Linked DNA regions of Anolis sagrei. The protein of the gene in region 2 purifies or fractionates together with the protein of the main gene of each other region. This does not show direct contact. Links are inferred from orthologs where the notes say so. Each region holds a gene or a part of one and is shown on either strand. Other genes may lie near its edges.

The links.
Region 1: the proteins of NOLC1 (region 2) and ARRB2 purify together in Homo sapiens (affinity purification with mass spectrometry; 5 studies listed by BioGRID and IntAct, counting the BioPlex papers as one, with this or other methods). This does not show direct contact. The link is inferred for Anolis sagrei from reciprocal best matches to the Homo sapiens genes NOLC1 and ARRB2.
Region 3: the proteins of NOLC1 (region 2) and ARRB1 purify together in Homo sapiens (affinity purification with mass spectrometry; 4 studies listed by BioGRID and IntAct, counting the BioPlex papers as one, with this or other methods). This does not show direct contact. The link is inferred for Anolis sagrei from reciprocal best matches to the Homo sapiens genes NOLC1 and ARRB1.

Annotation. Positions count from the first base shown.
Region 1 is NC_090026.1:259,494-266,886, reverse strand, and holds the start of ARRB2 (beta-arrestin-2), read left to right. Parts: upstream 1-4,328; 5' UTR 4,329-4,460; coding exon 4,461-4,483; intron 4,484-6,210; coding exon 6,211-6,241; intron 6,242-7,393. UniProt on the Homo sapiens protein: Functions in regulating agonist-mediated G-protein coupled receptor (GPCR) signaling by mediating both receptor desensitization and resensitization processes.
Region 2 is NC_090023.1:147,385,005-147,392,401, reverse strand, and holds the start of NOLC1 (nucleolar and coiled-body phosphoprotein 1), read left to right. Parts: upstream 1-4,367; 5' UTR 4,368-4,392; coding exon 4,393-4,506; intron 4,507-7,397. UniProt on the Homo sapiens protein: Nucleolar protein that acts as a regulator of RNA polymerase I by connecting RNA polymerase I with enzymes responsible for ribosomal processing and modification.
Region 3 is NC_090023.1:3,232,568-3,240,545, reverse strand, and holds the start of ARRB1 (beta-arrestin-1), read right to left. Parts: upstream 3,022-7,978; 5' UTR 2,753-3,021; coding exon 2,676-2,752; intron 1-2,675. UniProt on the Homo sapiens protein: Functions in regulating agonist-mediated G-protein coupled receptor (GPCR) signaling by mediating both receptor desensitization and resensitization processes.

The DNA.
Region 1 (7,393 bases), on a different chromosome or scaffold from region 2:
GAGGGCGAGGGCGGAGGGAAGCCCGGCGACGAGGACGAGGACACCGCCAACGCCAACGCCGCCATGATGCTCGCCCCGGGCGCACCGCGCATGCGCCAACAGGCGGAAGGGGCGGGGAGGAAGGCCCGCCAGGCACGCCGGGAAGGCCACCGCCGGGGAGCCTGGAAACCGCAGCCCGGTTGGTGGGTGGCGGGGGACCTTGAAACGACCGCTCCCTTATTTGCATGAATAGGGGCGGGGCCTGCTCCAGGGAAGGAGAAGGGAAAGGGCTTCTGCGCATGTCCGGAGGCTGGGGTTGGAATAGAGGATATTATGTGAAATATATTATGAAAGCCTTCAACACCACATTGTTATTATTTACTTATTATTAATTACTATTACGATAGTTGCATGTTATATATATATATATATATAATTATTTATTACAGATTTACATTTGTATATATCATTATTATTTATTACTTATTCCATTTGCATAGATGTATCCTTATTACACCCTACACCACTGGAGAAATTACACTGCTTAGCCGGTATTGCACCACCTGACATCTGCCGGGAAGGAGCAGCCAATAGTGAAGGGACCAAGGCACAGACATCTCCAGCTCATCCCTTGTTTGGGTATCAGCCAGCACGTCAACAACTTAAATCAAGAAATAGTTTTCTAAGATCTACAGAGACACTCGCTGGAACACCTCAGCAAGTGAGAGTCCAAAAGTGGCAGGCTCAAACTCAGAACCTGATACCAGATGAGAGACTTCCCCCTGGGCACACAGAAGACATGGCAACTTGGAAGGTGCTGAACAGACTGCGCTCTGGCACCACAAGATGCAGAGCCAACCTCAAGAAATGGGGCCACAAAGTGGAGTCCACGACATGCGAGTGTGGAGAACAGCAAACCACTGACCACCTGCTGCAATGCAACCTGAGCCCTGCCACATGATGTGCAAGGGAGGACCTTCTTGCAGCAACACCAGAGGCACTCAAAGGGGACAGATACTGGGCAAAGGACATCTAATCAACTACCAAACTCACAATTTTTTTATTCTGTATTTTGTATTTTGTCTGTTTGTTTGTTTGCTTTGTTCTGTTAGAAATATAATTGACTAGTTGCTGATGACTCGATAAATAAATAAATCCTTATTACATATTTATTGTTATATTTACATGTATACATATCCTTATTGTGTATTTCTATCTTTCTTTTTATCCTTATATATACATATATATATATATATATATATACACTTATTTATTATTATATTTACATTGATATAAATATAACCTTTCTTTTCCAACAAGCTTTCAATGGGTGAATAACTTGGGACTATGTCTGTTCTTGCTTTATTGTATTTTAAAGTTGGTTGTATTGTTTTAATCTACTGCTGTAAACCGCTCCGAGCCAAACTGGGAGTGGCGGTATACAAGTCTAAATAAATAATAAATAAATAAATAAAATATTTTCCTATTACCATTATTCATTTAGGTTTATTTTTTTTATAAAAGTAATCAATTTTAAGACACATACAATTTATAATTCCTACCACCATGAGGATTTCTTATTATTCTTATTTATTATGTATTATATTTACATAATATAGTACATGGAGTGAGAGTTGACAGGCGTGCAAGCTGGCTTTAGAAAAGGCAGAGGAACCAGACCAACTTGCCAGGATTCGGATGCTGGATCACGGAGAAAGGCAGGCAGGGAGCTTCAGAGGAACATCTAGTTCCGTTTTATTGACTATTCTAAAGCCTTTGGGTGGATCATAATAAACTGTCCATGGTGGCATGTATGTGGAGACCAAGTGTCACCTTGTCTGTCTCCTGACGAATCTGCATCACGACCAAGGAGCAACAGTCAGAACTGACCACAGAACAACAGCCTGGTTCAAGATTGGGAAAGGCGTATGGCAGGGTTGTCTACTCTCACCTAACCTATTCAACTTGTATCCTCATGTGAGGATACAAGTTGCCCAGCTTGACGAATCTAAGGCTGGGGTGAAAATTGCTGGAAGAAACATTAACAACCTTAGATATGCAGATGACACCACTTTGATGGCCGAAAGTGAGGAGGAGCTGAGGAGCCTTCCAATCAAGGTGAAAGAAGAAAGCGCAAAAGCCGGGTTGCAGCTAAACATCAAGAAACCCAAGATTATGGCAACAAGAATGATTGACAACTGGGAAATAGAGGGAGAAAATGTGGAGCCGTGACAGACTTTGTATTTCTAGGTGCAAAGATGAGTGCAGATGCAGACTGAGGCCAGGAAATCAGGAGACGCTTCCTTCTTGGGAGGAGAGCAATGTCCAGTCTCGATAAAATAGTAAAGAGCAGAGACCTCAGACTGGCAACCAAGATCCACTGCCTAGTCCAAGCCATGGTATTCCCTGTAGTAGTCACATCTACGGAGGTGAGAGCTGGACCTTCGGGAAGGCTGAGCCAAGGAAGAGAGATGCTTTTGAGCTGTGGTGTTGGAGGAAAGTGCTGAGAGTGCCTTGGACTGCGAGGAGATCCAACCAGTCCATCCTCCAGGAAAGAAAGCCCGACTAAAGCTCACTGGAGGGAAGGAGACTAGAGGGAAAGCTGAAGTCCTTTGAATGCCACATCATGAGGAGACAGCAAAGCCTAGAGAAGACTATTATTGTTATTAAACTTTATGTTTACGAGGAAGAGGGCCTTCTCTGTGGTTGCCTCCCGGCTCTGGAACTTGCTCCCCAAGGAGATGAGGCAGGCACCCACCCTGGCTGCCTTCAGAAAAAGCTTACATGGCTCTTCCGGTGTGCTTCCAGGGACTGAACAATCCGTGTCCATGCCGCGTCCTGACCCAGGGCCAAATCTGCCCCTTGGATGCTGTTCACCTTCTCCCTCCATCTTGTCCCACCCGGAGACTCAAAGTGGCTCACAATCAAAAACATTACAACTTAAAATATACACATATTCAATAACAAAACAGTATTACCATTCTATATTATTGTATATTATTAGTAGTAATTAAACTTTCTATAGTATTATTTTATCACACTATTCTCATTATATTATTCATATGATATTGTATTCAATTATAATATTATCAATATTATATGTACATGAAATATATTCTATTATTAGCCTAGCACAATATTAGTATTATAGATTACTATTTTGTACTATAACCCTAGGCTGCAATATTATTAGTAATGTAACATGTATATGTAGTTATTATAGTGTTATGTGTACTATGTTATTATGCCACAATACATCAATAATACACTATGTATCTATCTATGTATCTATCTATCTATCTATGTATGTATGTATCTATCTGTCTATCTATGCATGTATCTATCTATGTATCTATGTGTCTATCTATGCATGTATCTATGTATCTATGTATCTATCTATGTGTCTATCTATGTATGTATCTATGTATCTATGTGTCTATCTATGTATGTACCTATGTATCTATCTATGTATCTACCTATGTATCTATCTATGTATCTATCTATCTATGTGTCTATCTATGTATCTACCTATGTATCTATCTATGTATCTATCTATCTATGTGTCTATCTATGTATATATCTATGTATCTATCTGTCTATCTATCTTTCCCTCTATCTATCTTTCCCTCTATCTATCTATCTATCTATCTATCTATCTATCTTTCCCTCTGTCTATCTATCTATCTATCTTTCCCTCTGTCTGTCTATCTATCTATCTATCTATCTCCCTATCTATCTATCCCTCTATCTATCTATCTATCTATCTATCCCTCTATTATTTATCTATCTATCTATCTCCCTATCTATCTATCCCTCTATCTATCTATCTATCTATCTATCCCTCTATTATTTATCTATCTATCTATCTATCTTTCCCTCTGTCTATCTATCTATCTATCTTTCCCTCTGTCTGTCTATCTATCTATCTATCTATCTATCTATCTCCCTATCTATCTATCCCTCTATCTATCTATCTATCTATCCCTCTATTATTTATCTATCTATCTATCTCCCTATCTATCTATCTCCCTATCTATCTATCTATCTATCCCTCTATTATTTATCTATCTATCTATCTATCTATCTATCTATCTATCTATCTATCTATCTATCTATCTATCTATCTATCTATCTATCTATCTGTGTATCTCTGGCTGAGCAGGGTTGGCTCTTCTTCCTTCTGGGCGGCCTTCTCCTTGTGGCGCTTCTGCGCAGGCGCGGCTTCTGGGGTGAGGGCGGGGTCACGCCTCCTGCCCCCTCCCTCCCCCTCCCTCCCTCCCCCCTGCCGCGATGACGTCCGCCCCCTCCTCTCGGGCGCGCCCTGGGATTGGCTGCGGGGTCCTGCCCACGTGACCGGGGCCCCTGGAAGGAAGGAGGGCAAGCTAGAGGGGGCCATGGCTGCTGCTGCTGCTGCTGCTTCTTCCTTGCGGCGCTGAGGGAAGAGGAAGAGGAAGAGGAAGGGAAGCAGGAGGGAAGCCAGGATGGGGGAGAAGGCGGGCACCAGGTACCAGCAGGAGGGCGCCCGCCCTGGCCCCTTGGAGGGAGGGAGGGAGGGAGGGGACCCTGGCACCCACCCCGCGGCTCTGGCAACACAGGCCGGCCGGCTGGCCATCTGCGGGGAGGGCTCTGGTGGTGTCTTCCTGGGGCGGGGCCGGGTGGCCTCCTCCGGGGGGGGGGGCTCGGGCGGCGCCTTCTAGGCTCATATAAGTGGGGGGGGGGCGGGTTGGGTGGCCTCGGGGGGGGGGGTCTTTGGGGGTCCCTTGCAAGGAGGCCCTCGGGATGCTGCTGCCCAGGGAGGGGGCGAGAGTGGCCATCTGTGGGGAGGGCTCTGGGGGTGTCTCCCTGGGGCGGGGCTGGGGGGGCCCTGGGGTTCATCCATCCAGCATTCCTTCTGGGAAGGCTTTGAGGGGGAGGCCGGGCGGCCTTTGAGCCAGGCAGGGGCTCAAGTCCAAAACACACGGGGGGAGGGAGGGGGGAGCGAGGGGGGCAAAGCCAGCGCCTTGGGGGGGGGGGGTGGGCAGTGTTGACATCCTGCTCCTGCCAGGCAAGACCAGCACCAACAACAGGCCAAGGGGGTGGACAGGGTGAAAGCCCCCCCCCCTCACTCCACTGGGTGGCCTTGAGGCCTACGCCAAAGCCCACCCCACCCCGCCCCCCGCACTACAAAGTGGGTCCATGTTTGGGGAGGGGGCTCCTTGGCTGGGAAAAAGAGGTCACGGCTCCATTTGGGGGGAACATCAGAGCAGCCAACGCTCCCCCCGTTGTGTTCTCCTTCAATCTAAAGGGGGACCAACTGTTGCCCCCCCAGTAACCTTTGACCTCCCAGGTAACTCCACCTGTAATCACCACCCCTTCCCCAAACTCCATGGCGCGCTCTTCTTCCCATGGGATCATCGTCACTATTATGACAACCCCGCTTTATGTCCCCAGAAGGAGACTCAAAGCAGCTCAAAGACCTAAAAGCATCACCATACCATTTAAATTATTATTATTATTATTATTATTATTTATTACACAGACATATATATATATATATATATATACACATACACACACACACACACACACAAAACCACACACGTGCATACACATTATAGGGTTGTTGTAGTTTTTTTCAGGCTATATGGCCATGGTCTAGAGGCATTCTCTCCTTTAGGAGACCATGCCAAGTCTAGACCATGGCCATATATATGGCCATGGTCTAGACTTGGCATGGTCTCCTAAAGGAGAGAATGCCTCTAGACCATGGCCATATAGCCTGAAAAAAACTACAACAACCCAGTGATTCCGGCCATGGAAGCCTTCGACAAGACACACACATGATATTTATTTATACCCGGTGGCTTGGCCTCTCCGGCAGGAGACTCAAAGACTCAAATTGCCATACAATGTAAATTACTATTATTTATTACACACACAAACATACACACACACACGTGCATTTACATAATATTTATGTATACCCGGCGGCTTGGCCCCTCCTGCAGGAGACTCAAAGCGCCTTAACCTAAAATCACCGGCATACCATCTAAAACATACAAACATGAAGCACGCAATTGTATTTTTGCTGTTGGTGTCGAGTGTGTCCTCAAAACCTGACATTTTGGGGAAGGGACCCTTGCATTTGGGGAGGGGGAAGTGGGGAAGTATTTCCCCCTGAATGTTCCTTCCTCTTTCCAAGGCTCCCTCTCTTCCTCCTCGTCCTCACTCTTCCTCTTTCTCTCCCTGCAGGGTCTTCAAGAAGTCCAGCCCCAACTGCAAAGTGAGTTCCTGCCATCACCCTCCCCCCCTTTTAAATGCCCCCCCTCCCTCCCCCCTGCAGCTACAATGCAGCTGGCTTTGGCCTTTGCGTGTGCTTGCAGCCGCTGCACCATTGCCTTCCCCGCCCTCCTGGTGTGAAGAATACGAGTGCGAGGGCCTCCCTTTGCTGTTGCAGTTGCTGCGGGTTTCCTGTCCCTCTTCCTCTCCACCCGCTTCCTTCCTCCTGCCCAGCCTTTTGGAGAAGGAGAAGGCACGCGGGGGGGGGGGGGGGGGGGTTGCACCTCGATCCTCGCACACTCAGCAGCAGTGCTTCCTGCTCTCATGTACGCCCACACACGCATGCACCAGGACTCCGCCGCCGTTGCACAAGACACCCACGGAACTTCCTCTTGCAAAGCAGGATCCAGAAGGAGATAATAAGAGAGAGAGAGATTGCCTCGGGGATTCCCCCCCCCCCCCCCACACACACACAGAGTCTAGTGAAAAGAGACCTGGTGCACATTGCACTTTGGGATGTTTCACCGCTCTCTGGGTCACGCAACACGTGGCACAAACCAAAGTTGCATTTCTGTACCTCCGTTTGTGACATTGGGCCATTTGTGTTTCTACTCTTTGGTGCAAAGGGAGATGCCCTACTTGTGCAAAGGCCAGAGCAATTGCACAGCACTCCTGGAGTGTGTGTGTGTGTGCAACTCGTGGCACAACTGAGGTTGCATATGGGTGTCTCCATGCTTTTGTTTTCCATCAAAGTGCTGTTGTTTGGTGTGAGGGAAGCCGCTCTTCTTGTGCAAAGGCCAGAGCAAATTCACCGTATTCGTGGCAGGGACCAAGTGCTTGTGCGCAGGATGCAGCAGCCAAATGCAGAGGAAGCAGGCGTTCAACACGTGGCACAAATGAAATTGCATATGTGTGTCTCCATGCTCGTGTTTTCCACCGGAGCACTGCTATTTGTGCAAAGGAAGCTGCCCTGCTTGTGCAAAGGCCAGAGCAAATGCACGGCAGTCGTGACAGGGATCAAGTGCTTTCTCCTGTTTTGAGTGAGGGGAGCCACCCTGATTGTGCAAAGGCCAGAGCAGTTACACAGCAGTTGTTGAGGGGGTGTGTGTGCAACACATGGCATGACTGAGGCTGCATTTGGGTGTCTCTATGCTTG
Region 2 (7,397 bases):
CCTGTGGTACTCTTTCTTGTTTCCTTTCCATGGTTAGTCAGGTACCATGTACTGCTCCCCACAGGAAAGTCATAGCTGCAGGTAGTCATCTTGACCGGACCATAACATCAGGCTGGGCAAGTGAATCCCTTACAGGCCAGTCTGTATGTAGGTAAGTTCCACTAAACTCAACAGTACTAGCAGTGATGCTTTATATCAGGCCTTCTTAAACTTTTCCCACTCACAACCTGTTCCTCCCAAAAAATCTTTATGTGATTTCACATATATCTATATAAATAAAAATATAATGTTTGTTTGTGGGATTAACATATCTCAAAAACCACTGGATGAATTGACACCACATTTGGACACAATATACTTATCAGGCCAACAAGTGACCATCAGACATAAAAACACTGAAAAACACAGGGACTTGAAAAGCCAAAAAAGCAAAAAAACGCTACATGTGCAAAAGTGACTCCCCTTGGCAAACAAAACACACAATAGCATATCCAAACCCTCTTCCAGACTACAGTTCCCAACATCCCCTAGACCAGACCCTTTAGGAGAGGAGGATGATCCAAATGCACTGCTTCCAAGCTGCAAGCTTTCTTCTCCTTGGATTTCTTTGAGAGCATCCTAATCCCTGCATATTTCCAATTTCCTATTACTGGATTGCAACTCCCAGCAATCCTCCAGATAGATAGATTAGATGGAGATAGGTAGGTAGGTAGATGGATCAGGAGGACTGTTGGGAGTTGCAGTCCAAGAATAGGTAGAGAAGGAAGAAAGGAGGGAAAGAGGAAGGGAAAGAAAAGGTGAGAGGAAGGAAGGGAAGAGGAAGAGAAGGTGGGAAGGAGAGCAAGAAAGAAAGAAAAAAGAGGAGGAAGGAAAGAGGGAGAGAAGGAAGGAAGTAGAGAAAGAAAAAAGAGGAAGAGGGAGGGAAGGTTAGTCACAGCAACGTGTGGCGGGTACAGCTAGTAGGTATATAAAATAGGTATACAAGTCAAGCATGTATTCAATATAAATCATCAGTTGCAAGGCATACTAAAGAGGCTGTTTTTCCTTTTTGTGGAGTACTGCTGAAGCACTTTCTGCAGAGTCCACTGCAAACATTATGTGATAGGTTTGTTTAAAAGCCTAATACAGCCACCAGGTGGCATCCAGAAAATGTTCACAAGTTTTCAAAGGCCCTTCCAGACAGGCCCTATATCTCAGGATCTGGTCCCAGTTTTCCTGTTTATCCCAGATTATCTGGCAGGGCGGATTCATATAATCCAGTTTAAAGCAGAAAACCTGCGGTCAGACCCTGGGAGATCGGGCCTGTACAGAAGGGGCCAAAGGCCCCTTCTACACTGACATATCATCCAGATTGTCAAAACACATCCAGATTTCAACTGGATTATATGAATTTGCACTGCCATATAATCCAATTTAAAACAGACAATCTGGATTTTAAACGGCAGTGTAAAGGGGCCAAAGCTTCATGACTTCTTCATCAGGCAAAGCTGTGAAAATCATAGAGGAGAAAATTGTGATTATGTTACAGTCTCAGACCCCTTCTACACTGTCATAGAAAATCCAGATTATCTGATTTTAACTGGATTATATGGCAATATAGACTCATATAATCGGGTTCAAAGATATCTGCTTTGATAATCTGGATTATATGGCGGTGTAGAAGGGGCGTCTGAAATTTTGTCAATTACAATTGTACTGCCAGATTGAAAAGCCACCTTCCTGATTGGTCTCAGGGGGACTGGGGTAAAGAGCAATACAAGACAGGTAACAAAATTTCAAATAATTTAGTAACAGAAAAGTAACTTCTCTGTCCCAGTCCTATGCAAAGCCAAGCTTTCCTTTCTTTGACAGAGACATTGTGTTCTTCTGTGTATCTCTACCCAGAAATAAACCTACTGAAGGACTCATCTGAAGTATAAGAGTTAGTATAGAATTTTGCTCCAACTGATTTAGAACAACAATAAGGGTAAATAGTTCATGTGATCCTACGCAAGCATTTTTCAATCAAAATGACTGTTCTGTGACCATTAGAGAAGATTAGGCGCCCTTCCACACAGCCCTATATCACAGAATATTTATTTATTTATTTATTTACAGTATTTATATACCGCTTTTCTCACTCCTAGGGGGACTCAAAGCGGTTTACACATAGATAATGGCAAAAAGTAAATGCCTTACAACTACAATAGTAAAACCACACTTTAAACATAAATCATATTAAAAACGGTACATCCCCAAATATCAAAACAGCTATTAAAACCATAAAACAATCTAATCAGTCGAGTCACCGTTCCAGTCCTGGTTCCACTAAAAGCTGCATACATCTATTGTTTGAAGGCCTGGTCCGAGAACCATGATTTTAATTTTTTTCTAAAGGTCAGGAGCGAGGGAGCAGATCTTACCTCCTTTGGGAGTGTGTTCCATAGGCGGGGGGCCACAGCCGAGAAGGCCCTGCTCCTTGTCCCTGCCAGCTGCATTTGCACTGTTGACGGGAGCAAGAGCAGGGCCTCCCCAGATGATCTTAAATTGTGAGGTGGGACATAGGGGCAGATGCGTTCAGACAAGTAAGCTGGGCCCGAACCGTATAGAGCTTTATAGGTCAAAACCAGCACTTTGAATTGGGCTCGGAGATGTTCCGGCAGCCAGTGGAGCTGGCATAACAGGGGGATGGTATGCTCCCTGTATGCCACCCCAGTTAGTAATCTGGCTGCTGCTTGTTGAACTAACTGAAGTTTCCAAACTGTCTTCAAAGGCAGCCCCTTTGCAGAAATTTATTCGGGATGTAACCAGAGTGTGGACCACCGTGGCCAGATCAGACTTCCCAAGGTACAGGCGCAGCTGGTGCATGAGTTTTAACTGCAAAAGCTCCCGTGTCCACCGCCAAAACCTGGGTTTCCATGCTCAGCGATGAATCCAGGATCACTCCCAAGCTGTGAACCTGCGTTTTCAGAGGGAGTGTAACCGCGTCCAACACAGGCTGTAACCCTATGTCCTGTTCGGTCTTTCGACTGACCAGGAGGACCTCTGTCTTGTCTGGATTCAATTTCAATTTGTTAGCCCTCATCCTGTCCAACACAGCAACCAAGCACCGGTTCAAGGTCTGAACAACCTCCTTAGTGACAAAACTATGCATTCCCTGATTATAAACTATCTTTTATTGGAAGTGGGGGGGGGGGGGTCACCTTCGACTACAACCCCATCCACACAGCTGAATAAAATCCCACATTTTCTGCTTTGAACTGGAATATAAGGTAGTGTAGACTCAGGGCCCTTCCACGCATCCATATAACCGAAAATATCAAGGCAGAAAATCCCACAATATCTGCTTTGAACTGGGTTATCTGAGTCCACACTGCCATATAATCCAGCTGTTTGGAAGGGACAGAAAATGCCATTAACTCGGTCTAATCAAGCTTCCAAAGAACATGGCCTTCATGAAAGAGAAAAGCCAAATAATGAACAGACAGTTGAAATTCTGAGGAAGAAATCACTATAAAATCGTTAACATAATAATATGGGAAAAAACAAATATAACTCCAAAACATGTAATAGAGGACCAAAATGATTAAGTATAAATGTAAATGGAAGGTTTTTCTGTAATACTTTGGTCATTTAATATAATTCTTTCTCGAATTGCCCCCTTACAAATCAAATGTATGTGGAGCATGTGGCCCACGTTGGAAATCAGGGGTATAGACCTCTATAATGCAGTTCCCCGGTGGCGCAGTGGGTTAAAGCGCTGAGCTGCTGAGCTTGTTGACTGAAAGGTCGCAGGTTCGAATTTGGGGAGCAATGTGAGCTTCCGCTGTCAGCCCTAGCTTCTGCCAACCTAGCAGTTCGAAAACATGCAAATGTGAGTAGATCAATAGGTACCGCTCCGGCGGGAAGGTAATGGCGCTCCATGCAGTCATGCCGGCCACATGACCTTGGAGGTGTCTACGGACAACGCTGGCTCTTTGGCTTAGAAATGGAGATGAGCACCACACCCCAGAGTCAGACATGACTGGACTTAATGTCAGGGGACAAACTTTACTAATGCAGTTAAATGCAGTTAAAGTGCATTGTATGTGTAGATTCAAACTAACCTCTAAGGCCCCTTCTACACAGTCCTATATCCCAGAATATCAAGGCAGAAAATCCCACAATATCTGCTTTAAAATGGGTTATCTGAGTCCATACAGAGATAATTTTCTGACTTGATATTCTGAGATATAGGGCTGTGTGAAAGGTCCTTAATGATGACCATGGTTTTGAACTCGCACAGCCGGAAGTTCAGAGCGTGAGGTCTCTTTTAACTATTTCTATCTCTATGTTCTCCTCCCAACCAACCGCTCCTTTCCAAGGTTCGTGGGCGGGGCAGGGGGCGGGGCTGCGTCCTTTTCCGGCGGCAAGATGGCGGCGAAGACGCGTGTGGTGCCCAGCGACCTCTTCCCGCTGGTCTTGGCCTTCCTGAGGGAGAACCACTTCGACGGGGCGGCGCGCGCGTTCGGGAAGGCGGCCGGCGTGGTGAGGGCCTTGTGGGGGGCGAGGCCGGGCCCTGTCGCTCTCCGGAGGGGCGCTGCATGCGGGGAGGGCTGCTCCGCCACGTGGGACCCGGGCCTCCCTCCTGAGGGGCGCCCTGATCCGCAGGGAAGGCCAGGCGAGACCAGGTCCAGTTGGGCTTCCAACTCCCAGAATACCTGGCCATTGAACTTGCAAGGGCTTCTCGGGGTTGGAGGCCTCAACAGCTGGAGGGCCCCAGTTGGAGGAGGCCTCCTTTAGGATATATTACAGTGGCTGTCTGCTTAGCATTGCTGCTTTAAAAGAATGTGTAAAAACACCAAAGCTTCCAACAGTAGGGCCCCTTCCACACAGCTGAATAAAATCCCACATTATCTGCTTTGAACTGGGATATATGGCAGTGTGGACTCAGATAACCCAGTTCAAAACAGATATTGTGGATTATTCTGCCTTGATAGTCTGGAATATAAGGCTGTGTGGAAGGGTCCTCTAATGTGCAGCCTTATTTTGTAGAGGTAATTATGTAAAAAAAAAGGTGTTATTTTGCATCAGTTTATTTCAATTTATGCATTTTAATTTGATATTAGCTGTTTATATTTTATTTTGTTGTACTGTAATTCTGGGCTTGACCTCATGTTAGCTGCCGTGAGTTCCCTTTGGGGAGATGGTGGGGTATAAATAAAGTTTATTATTATTATTCTTTGAAACACAACAAGATGAGTCCACAGCAGACAAGATCACTCTGCTGGCTGTTGTATTGGATCACACGTCAGACACTTCCCAAGTGTATTGTCGAAGGCTTTCATGGCCGGAATCACTGGGTTGTTGTAGGTTTTTTCGGGCTATATGGCCGTGTCTAGAGGCATTCTCACCTGATGTTTCGCCTGCATCTATGGCAAGCATCCTTAGAGGTTGTGAGGTCTGTTGGAACTAGGAAAATTGGTTTATTTATCTGTGGAATGACCAGGGTGGGACAAAGGACTCTTGTCTGCTGGAGAAAACTGGACATCTAATCACCTCTCAACAGAGGTTTGCTCCAGGCACTGTCAGGCAATTATATGATAATCAAAGTGGTCAGTTGAAACATTCACACCTAGCTCCAGCAGACAAGAGTCCTTTGTCCCACCCTGGTCATTCCACAGATATATAAACCCCTTTTCCTAGTTCCAACAGACCTTACTACCTCTGAGGATGCTTGCCATAGATGCAGGCGAAACATCAGGAGAGAATGCCTCTAAACCGTGGCCATATAGCGCGAAAAAAACCTACAACAACCCACTTCCCAAGTGTCTAGGACTGTATGATGTATCGACAAATAATGTATGCAGATCCCAGTAAGGTGGCCTTCTCCAGCTGGCAGATGGTAATTTTGTCAGCGCTGATTGTCTTTAGGCACTGCACCCAGTGCCTTTAGGCACTGCACCCAGGTCTTTAGGTCTTTAGGCACTGCACCCAGTGTGCTGATCACCCCTGGGACCACCTTGACTGGCTTGTGCCAGAGTTTTTGCAGTTCGATCTTTAAATCCTCATATCATGTCAGCTTTTCCAGTTGTTTCTCTTCAATCCTGCTGTCGCCTGGGATTGCAACATCGACGATCCATTATTATTATTATTATTATTTTTATTATTATTTGAGTAAATAGGGATATAAATCAATGGAGAAACATTCACAGAAACTAGCTTAATATAAGTCGTATGAGTGGCTTGAAGGGGGCTGTAGATTTCAGACATAGCTTGGATATGGAGGTCAGTGTGTAAGTAAGAAAAACCAAAGGTTTGGCTTTGTCTCACTAAGGACCCTTCCATGCAATTGTATAAAATCCACATTGAACTGCATTATATGGCAGTGTGGTCTCAGATAACCCAGTTCAAAGCAGATATTGTGGATTACCTGCCTTGATATTCTGGGTTACATGGCTGTGTGGAAGGGCCCTAAGAAGCCTGAAAGGGCCTGTGATGCAAGTGTGTTGGCAACAAGACAACAGTTGCAATAAAGAAGATCCTTCTGAATGCATGTCCGAAACAGTTATTTGCTCTGATTATTGAAACCTTTGTGATTCTGTAACATTATGGAGAAGTGTTGCTGTTTTGGCATGCTGCTTTGATGTAAAATTTACTTAGGAGGCTCCACCATGGGCCCTTCCACACAGCCCTATATCCCAGAATATCAAATCCCACAATGTCTGCTTTGAGCTGGGTTATGTGAGTCCACGCTCAGATAATGTGGGATTTTCTGCCTTGATATTCTGGAATATAGGGCTGCGTGGAAGGGCCCCATGTCACATTTTCTCATCCCTATTACGGTTTCAGCAGCATTGCTGTAAGAGTCCCATACAGAGATCCTATATGGAGTTGTATGCACTATTCTAGGAATATGAGAATTTATATCCCATAATCTAGGAAAACGTGAATAGCTGTGTGTGTGTAATATTAAGATTAACTTGAAAGGAAATCTGGGAAGACATACAGGATTTTTCAAACGAACCTAATTTCAAAGCAGTATATTCCACGATGGCAGCATGTTACAATCGCACAAAAACTTACAAGTGGTTTAATGAGTTATGAGATTTTACTAACCATTTTGACTTGGAAACAAATCTGAAACATAATTCCAAAATGGATAGCATATCATTAGGCCTTATGTTGCAGGGCAGTGTGTTTGCTGGGAGAGGCATCTTGCCATAATCATGTGAAACTCCCACCATGTACTCAAGCACATATTTTGCCCTGTTTACTTTTGTGTCTATTTTACTGCTAGATAACTTTCCTGTCTATGAATAGTCTTACCACATTAGTTAAGACATATGTATTAAATTTGCCTGTGTATTTAACCGAATTGCTATGAATGTATACATTGGTACAGAGCCCATCAAATACCTGAAATCATTAGAGCTATG
Region 3 (7,978 bases), about 140 Mb from region 2:
CTCCGGAGAATCCTGCAAAAATCTTGGGAGGACAAACGGACAAACGTCAGCGTGCTGGAAGAAGCAAAGACCACCAGCATTGAAGCGATGGTCCTCCGCCATCAACTCCGCTGGACCGGCCACGTTGTCCAGATGCCCGACCACCGTCTCCCAAAGCAGTTGCTCTACTCCGAACTCAAGAATGGAAAAAGGAAATGTTGGTGGGCAGGAAAAGAGATTTAAAGATGGGCTCAAAGCCAACCTTAAAAACACTGAGAACTGAGAAGCCCTGGCCCTTGAGCGCTCCAGCTGGAGGTCAGCTGTGACCAGCAGTGCTGTAGAATTTGAAGAGACGTGAATGGAGGGTGAAAGAGAGAAACGTGCCAAGAGGAAGGCGCGTCAAGCCAACCCCAACCGGGACCCGCCTTCCACCTGGAAACCAATGCCCTCACTTTGGAAGGGAGAACATGCAGATCAAGAATAGGGCTCCACAGTCACCTACGGACCCACCACAACCACACTGATCCTGGAAGTCTATCCTACTCAGACAACGAGGTAAGTAAGTAAGTAAGTTAGTAAGCAAATATAAATATGTGAGAGGAAGTTCTAGGGCGGAGGGAACAAGCTTGTTTTCCGCTGCCCTGAAGACTAGGACGCAAGGGAACAATGGCTTCAAACTACAAGAGAGGAGATTCCATCTGAACATTAGGAAGAACTTCCTGACTGTGAGAGCTGTTCAGCAGTGGAACTCTCTGCCCCGGAGTGTGGTGGAGGCTCCTTCTTTGGAGGCTTTTAAACAGAGGCTGGATGGCCATCTGTTGGGGGTGCTTTGAATGCAATTTTCCTGCTTCTAGGCAGAATGGGGTTGGACTGGATGGCCCAGGAGGTCTCTTCCAACTCTAGGGTTCTATGAGTCTATTCTATGGAATATGGGAGTCGTAGTTTTGCAAAGACTTAAATCTTCTCTTCCAAAGAGTGCTGTTTCTTCACCAAACTACATCTCCCAAGGTCCATAGCATAGCAATAGCAAGAAGAGGGCTGAAGTTAGCCCATGCCTGGTCTAGACCAAGGGAGGTCATAGTTCCAACTCAATTCTGCTTTGATCAGACCTCCTCATCTGGAGAAACCCTGCTTCCAGCATTTGGATGGATACCATGCCTCAATGCCTCAATGCGATAGCATGATGGGATTTGTAGTTTGGTGAGGCCCCAGCGGGGAAGGTTCAACACCTTGTAAAGCTACAACTCCCAGGATGCTGTCATACACCAGAGCAGGAACACCTCTGACCTTAAGCACCAAACCAGCTTGGTAAAATCAGCCTGAGGCCCCATTCTTTCCCCCTTCATGGGCCAACTTTGGCCCTCCAGGTGTTTTAGACTTCAACTCCCACCATTCCTAACAGCCTCAGGCCCCATCCTTTCCCCCTCAGCCGCTTAAGCAAGGAAAGGAAAGGGCCTGAGGCTGTTAGGAATTGTGGGAGTTGAAGTCCAAAACACCTGGAGGGCCCAAGTTGGACCATGAAGAGGGAAAGGATGGGGCCTGAGGCTGTTAGGAATGGTGGGAGTTGAAGTCCATAAAGACCTGGAGGGCCCAAGTTGGCCCATTAAGGGGGAAAGGATGGGGCCTGAGGCTGTTAGGAATTGTGAGAGTTGTAGTCCAAAAGACCTGGAGGGCCCAAGTTGGCCCATGAAGGGGGAAAGGATGGGGGCTGAGGCTGTTAGGAATTGTGGGAGTTGTAGTCCATAAAGACCTGGAGGGCCCAAGTTGGCCCATGAAGGGGGAAAGGATGGGGGCTGAGGCTGTTGGGAATTGTGGGAGTTGAAGTCCAAAACACCTGGAGGGCCCAAGTCGGGGTTGGCTTGACGCGCCTTCCTCTTGGCACATTTATCTCTTTTGCCCTCCTTCTGCAGCACTGCTGGTCACAGCTGACCTCCAGCTGGAGCGCTCAAGGGCCCAAGTTTGCTCAGGCCTGTCCTTTAGGATCATGGGGTTTGTAGTTTGGCACCTGGTCACCGAAACATAGCAGAGCATGTGCAGAGTGCTTTCGAGATCCTCCATGAACCTAAGACGTGCATCTATCACAGGCATGGGCAAATGTCATCCCTCCGGGCATTTTGGACTTCAGCATCCACAATTCCTAATAGCCGGCTGCTAGGGATTGTGGGTGTCGAAGTCCAAAATGCCCGGAGGGATGAATTTGCCTGTGCCTGATCTCCCTCGTAGAGTTCATAGAACGTAGAATCATAGAATCAAAGAGTTGGAAGAGACCTCATGGGCCATCCAGTCCAACCCCATTCTGCCAAGAAGCAGGAATATTGCATTCAAATCACCCCTGACAGATGGCCATCCAGCCTCTGCTTAAAAGCCTCCAAAGAAGGAGCCTCCACCACACTCCGGGGCAGAGAGTTCCACTGCTGAACGGCTCTCACAGTCAGAGAGTTCTTCCTAATGTTCAGATGCGCCGCAGACAAAGGAAGTTCAGGCAGTTTGACATCATTGTGTCATGCTCAGGGGTCCTATGGCATGAATCCTTTGCAATTCCCCACAAACAGATCCCCACATACCAAAACACCTAGAGGGGCCAAGTTGGCCCATGTCTGCACTAGATGGATACAGTGGACCCATTTGTGCCATTGCAAGAGATTTGAGCCTCTGGAGAGATGCTCACCCATGTGCCCATGCTACCCCTTGCTTACCGCTTCATGACCTCTTCTGTGGCTCTGTTTGTGGGGCCCCCGTCGAGACCTCTGGATCCCCCATGGGCCCCTTTCATGGCAGAAGGGGCCAGCAAACGAGTCGAGACAGGGAAGGCAGGGAAGAAGGCTGAACCTCGCTCGGCTGGACCAGGCGCAACCCTGTGCCTGGCACGATTGTTCCTGTGCCGGCATCACACGCCGTGCGCCAGCCCAGCCCTCTCTCTGCTGCGGCAGCATGGAGCGCACAAGCCGTGTGTTGCAGCGGCTGTCTTTGCTCCAAAAAGGGCTTCCTGAGCATCCCAGGAAGGCAGCGCAAAGGAAGCCCGGCTGCGATGCGCGGTCCAGATGCTTCCCGTAAAACACAGCAGCCCAGCCCTTGCCAAGGACGCATCCCAATGCTCCAAACGGAAAGGCGATGGTGGACGCATCACGGAATCAGCACACGCCTTGCATCTCCTTGCCAGGTTTCCTTGCAGGTCCATTGTCTGCAGCGCATCCTCTCCTTTCCCACACTGTGTCTCACAGGTAATTTGTTTTTCTCTGTATACAGATATATATATATATACACACACACACTAGCCACCCCCTGCCATGCATTGCTGTGGCCCAGTCTGTATATATGTATTTTGTGTGTGTATGTGTTATGGACCCACCCTGGAGGATTATCCTACTCGAACAACGAGGGGTCACCTAAGTAAGTAATGTGTGTGTATATATTTGTGTCTGCATATATATGTGTGTGTGGGTGTATATATGTGTGTGTATATTTGTGTATTTATATTTGTGTGTTTATTGGTTTATATATGTATATGCATCCTACTCGAACGAGAGGTCACCTAAGGAAGTAATGTGTGCTTATATATTTGTGTATATATGTGTGTTTGCATATATATGTGTGTGTGGGTGTATACATGTGTGTGCATATTTGTGTATTTGTGTGTTTATTTGTTTATATATGTATATGCATATTGTGTATTTGTGTGCTTGTCTATATGCATATTTGTGTGTATATATGTGTATGTATATATTTGTGTGCATGTGTATATGCATATACACATGTGTGCATGTATGTGTGCATGTGTATATGTATATGTGTGTATATATGTATATTTGTGTGTGCCTGTGCATATGTATATATGTGTGTATGTGTGTGTATATATGTGTGTATATTTGTATGTTCTTGTGCATATATGTGCGTGTGTATGAATGTGTGCATATGTATATATGTGTGTATGTGTGTATATATGTGTGTATATTTGTATGTGCTTGTGCACATGTGTATATGTATATGTGTTTATATATGTATATTTGTAAGTACATGTACATATGTATATATGTGTGTATATATGTGTGTGTATGAATGTGCACATGTGTATATGTATATGTGTTTATATATGTATATTTGTATGTGCATGTGCATATGTATATATGTGTGTATATTTGTATGTGCTTGTGCATGAATGTGTGTATGAATGTGTGCATATGTGTGTATATATGTGTATATTTGTATGTGCTTGTGCATATATGTGCGCATGTGCATGTGCATGTGTATATGTATATGTGTGCATGTGTATATGTATATGTGTGTATATATGTGTATATTTGTATGTGCTTGTGCATATGTGTGTGTATGAATGTGTGCATGTGTATATGTATGTGTGTATATATGTATATTTGTATGTGCATGTGCATACATATATGTGTGTATATATGTGTATATATTTGTATGTGCTTGTGCATATATGTGTCTGTGTATGAATGTGTGCATATGTATATATGTGTGTATGTGTGTATATGCGTATATTTGTATGTGCTTGTGCATATGTGTGTGTATGAATGTACACATGTGTATATGTATATGTGTGTATATATGTATATTTGTATGTGCATGTGCATATGTATATATGTGTGTATATGTGTGTGTATATTTGTATGTGCTTGTGCATATATGTGCGTGTGTATGAATGTGTGCATATGTATATATGTGTGTATGTGTGTATATATGTGTATATCTGTATGTGCTTGTGCATATATGTGTATGAATGTGTGCATGTGTATATGTATATGTGTGCAGCTAGTAGCCAGGGCAGACCCTGCTTAGCATCCACGATGTGAAAGGGCCTGGTGCACTTAGGATATTCGGGTGTTTCGAGAATACATCCCACAGTATTAAGTATCTGCTTGCGGTCTCCCATCCAGGTAGTAAACAGGGCAGACCCTGCTTAGCTCCAAAGATCAGGTGTCTTTAGAGATATTTGCAAACAACTACCATGGAAAGCATCTTGTCCTCAGACTTCTTGTAAGTCAAACCCAACTGGATGGCAAATGAAACCAAATGCAGGATGTGCTTGTTTTGCCCCCAGCATCATCTCTTCCACCAGCTGCGCACTGGATCTAGATGCATTTGAGCCCAAGACCTTCGGCCTGCAAAGAGAGTGACCTTTGGCCGTTCTGTCCAAATCTGTCCCATCATTGGGAGCTATGCGCTGTCCGCACATCTTCCCGATGCAGAGGTCAGCGCCTCGTCCTTCGGCTCCAAAACTTCCCAGCAATGTCACTGCGAATGGCCTCTGCCTTGTGTCTTTCCTCTCAAACCCAGAGGGACCAGAAGAGAGCAAACTGGGGCAACTGGGATGGGAGAAAGAGTGACGCAAAGCGCATGTGGCCCATGGGGAAGAACATCAGAAATGACATGCTCCATGGGGATGGTATAGCCACTCTGGGTTTGAAATCGCCAATTAAAAGCAGCTGTGCATGAGTGCAAAGGGAGTTTACACAATAATACATGATCTAAACACCCTAAAGGGGCCAGATCTCATCTAATTTTGGAAGCTAAGCAGGGTCAGTCCTGGATAGTACTTGGAGGGGAGACCATCTACTATAGGTTGTAGGGAATGGCTATCTCTGAGTCTTCCTGGCCTATTCACAAAATAATACAGTGCCTAAATACCCAAAAGGTGTCAGATACCATCTAATCTTGGAAGCTAAGCAGGGTCAGCCTTGGTTAGGACTTGGAAGGGAGACCGTCTACTATAGGTTGTGTTTCAGACACAAGGGAATGACTATCTCTCAGTCTTCCTGGCCTATTTACAAATTAATATTGGGCCTAAATACCTAAAAAGTGCCAGATCCCATCCTATATTGGAAGCTAAGCAGGGCCAACCCTGGTTAGGACTTGGAGGGGAGACCATCTACTATAGCTTGTGTTTCAAACAAAAGGGAATGACTATCTCTGAGTCTTCCTGGCCTATTAGCAAAATAATAGAGTTTCTAACTACCCAAAAAGTGCTAGAGTCCATCAGATCTTGGAAGCTAAGCAGGGTCAACTCTGGATAGTACTTGGAGGGGAGACCATATACTATAGGTTGTGTTTCAAACAAAAGGGAATGACTATCTCTGTGTCTTCCTGGCCTATTCACAAAATAATACAGTGCCCAAATGCCCAAAATGTGCCAGATCCCATCTGATCTTGGAAGCTAAGCAGGGCCAACCCTGGTTAGGACTTGGAGGGGAGACCATCAACTATAGGTTGTGTTTCAAACAAAAGGGAATGACTATCTCTGTGTCTTCCTAGTCTATTCACAAAATAATACAGTGCCTAAATGCCCAAAATGTGCCAGATCCCATCCTATCTTGGAAGCTAAGCAGGGTCAGCCTTGGTTAGGACTTGGAAGGGAGACCAATGGGAAAAGATTATATTTCAAACTAAGGGAATAATTATCTCTCAGTCTTCCTGGCCTATTCACAAAACAATATAAGGCCTAAATACCCAAAAGGTGCCAGATTCTGATTGATCTTGGAAGCTAAGCAGGGTCAGCCCTGGTTAGGACTTGGAGGGGAGACCACACAACAAATACCCGCTGCTATAAGTTGTATTTCAAAGGAAGGAACTGGAATGACTATCTCTGAGTCTTCCTGGCTTATTCACAAACAATACAGGGTGCAAATACCCAAAAGGTGCCACCCTGTTCTTGGAAGCTAAGCAAGGTCAGCCCTGTTTAGGACTTGGAGGGGAGAGCCAGCTGTATAGGCTGTATTGCAGGAGGAGGAGCTGGCCAAACCACCAGTTCCTCCTCTACTAGATGGAGGAAACTTAGGATATAAAGCAGGAAATGGAGCAAATCTCTAAATATACATATGCAACCACCCAGTGCATCTTTGCAAGTTGCAACCCCAAATGCATAGGTGGGCCATTATCCATCTGGAGATGAGCCCAAATGCATTAGCATTGTATGCTAGTTTTGTGCATGAAGCAGCCTTTCATTGGCAGATCTTTGGAAGGCTTTAATTGCGCTGCTGACAGGTCTATGAAGACAGCAGATTACAGGAGCTGTCTTCATAGACCTGTCAGCATCAGCAGCAGCATATGGTACTGTAAATCACCACTTTCTCCTGAGAAAAATCTAGAGTATCACAAAGGATGACCACCTCACCAGCTTCATAGGAAACCTGCTACAAAACAGGAGCTTTTTTGTTGAGTTCCAGGGCCAGAGAAGCAAAAGGCAAGAACAGCAGAACGGCCTGCCTCAGGGTAGCGTGCTTGTTTCATCAATGTTTAACATTTACACAAATGACCAGCCACTGCCAGAAGGGACAGAGAGTTTCATCTATGCTGATGATTGTGCCATCACCGCTACAAACCCACCAAGAAAATCCAACAAATGCTACGTTCAGCAAAGGACAAGAGGGATCCTCTCACCTCTGCAGGAGTCTACCGTATACTAGGGCTGGGCGGTTTCGTTTCGTTAATTCGTAATTCGTTAATAATTCGTTAATTTTTTAAATTACAAAACGATAACGAACCATTCTGGAGCAATTTTTTTAAAAAACGATTTTTTAAACACGTTTTGTAAATGCTTCGTATTTTGTTATTGTATTCGTTTCATTATTGTTCTGAGGTCGTTTCGTTATTATTTCCGCATGTCTGGGGCAAGTTTTTTGTTTAATTAGTGAAAAAAAATTATAATATCATACCAACAGTCAAGAACAGAGGGAGAGGGAAGCTTCAGAAGTTTTTGGAGGTTTTTTAGCGTATTTCGCGGTCGCGTCCGCCATTAACGAATCGATTCGTTATTGTTTCGGAAATCGATTCGTTAATGTTTTGTAATATTTTTCACATTTACGAAATTTCATAAATATCGAACTTTTTAAAAGGAAAATTTTGTAATTATTTTAAATAACGAAACGCAAAAACCCCCAAAAAACGAATCGATTTTAGAAACAAATTTTTCCGTTGTTACCCAGGTCTACCGTATGCCATGCAGCTGTGGACAAGTCTACAGAGGGACCACCAAACGCAGCAT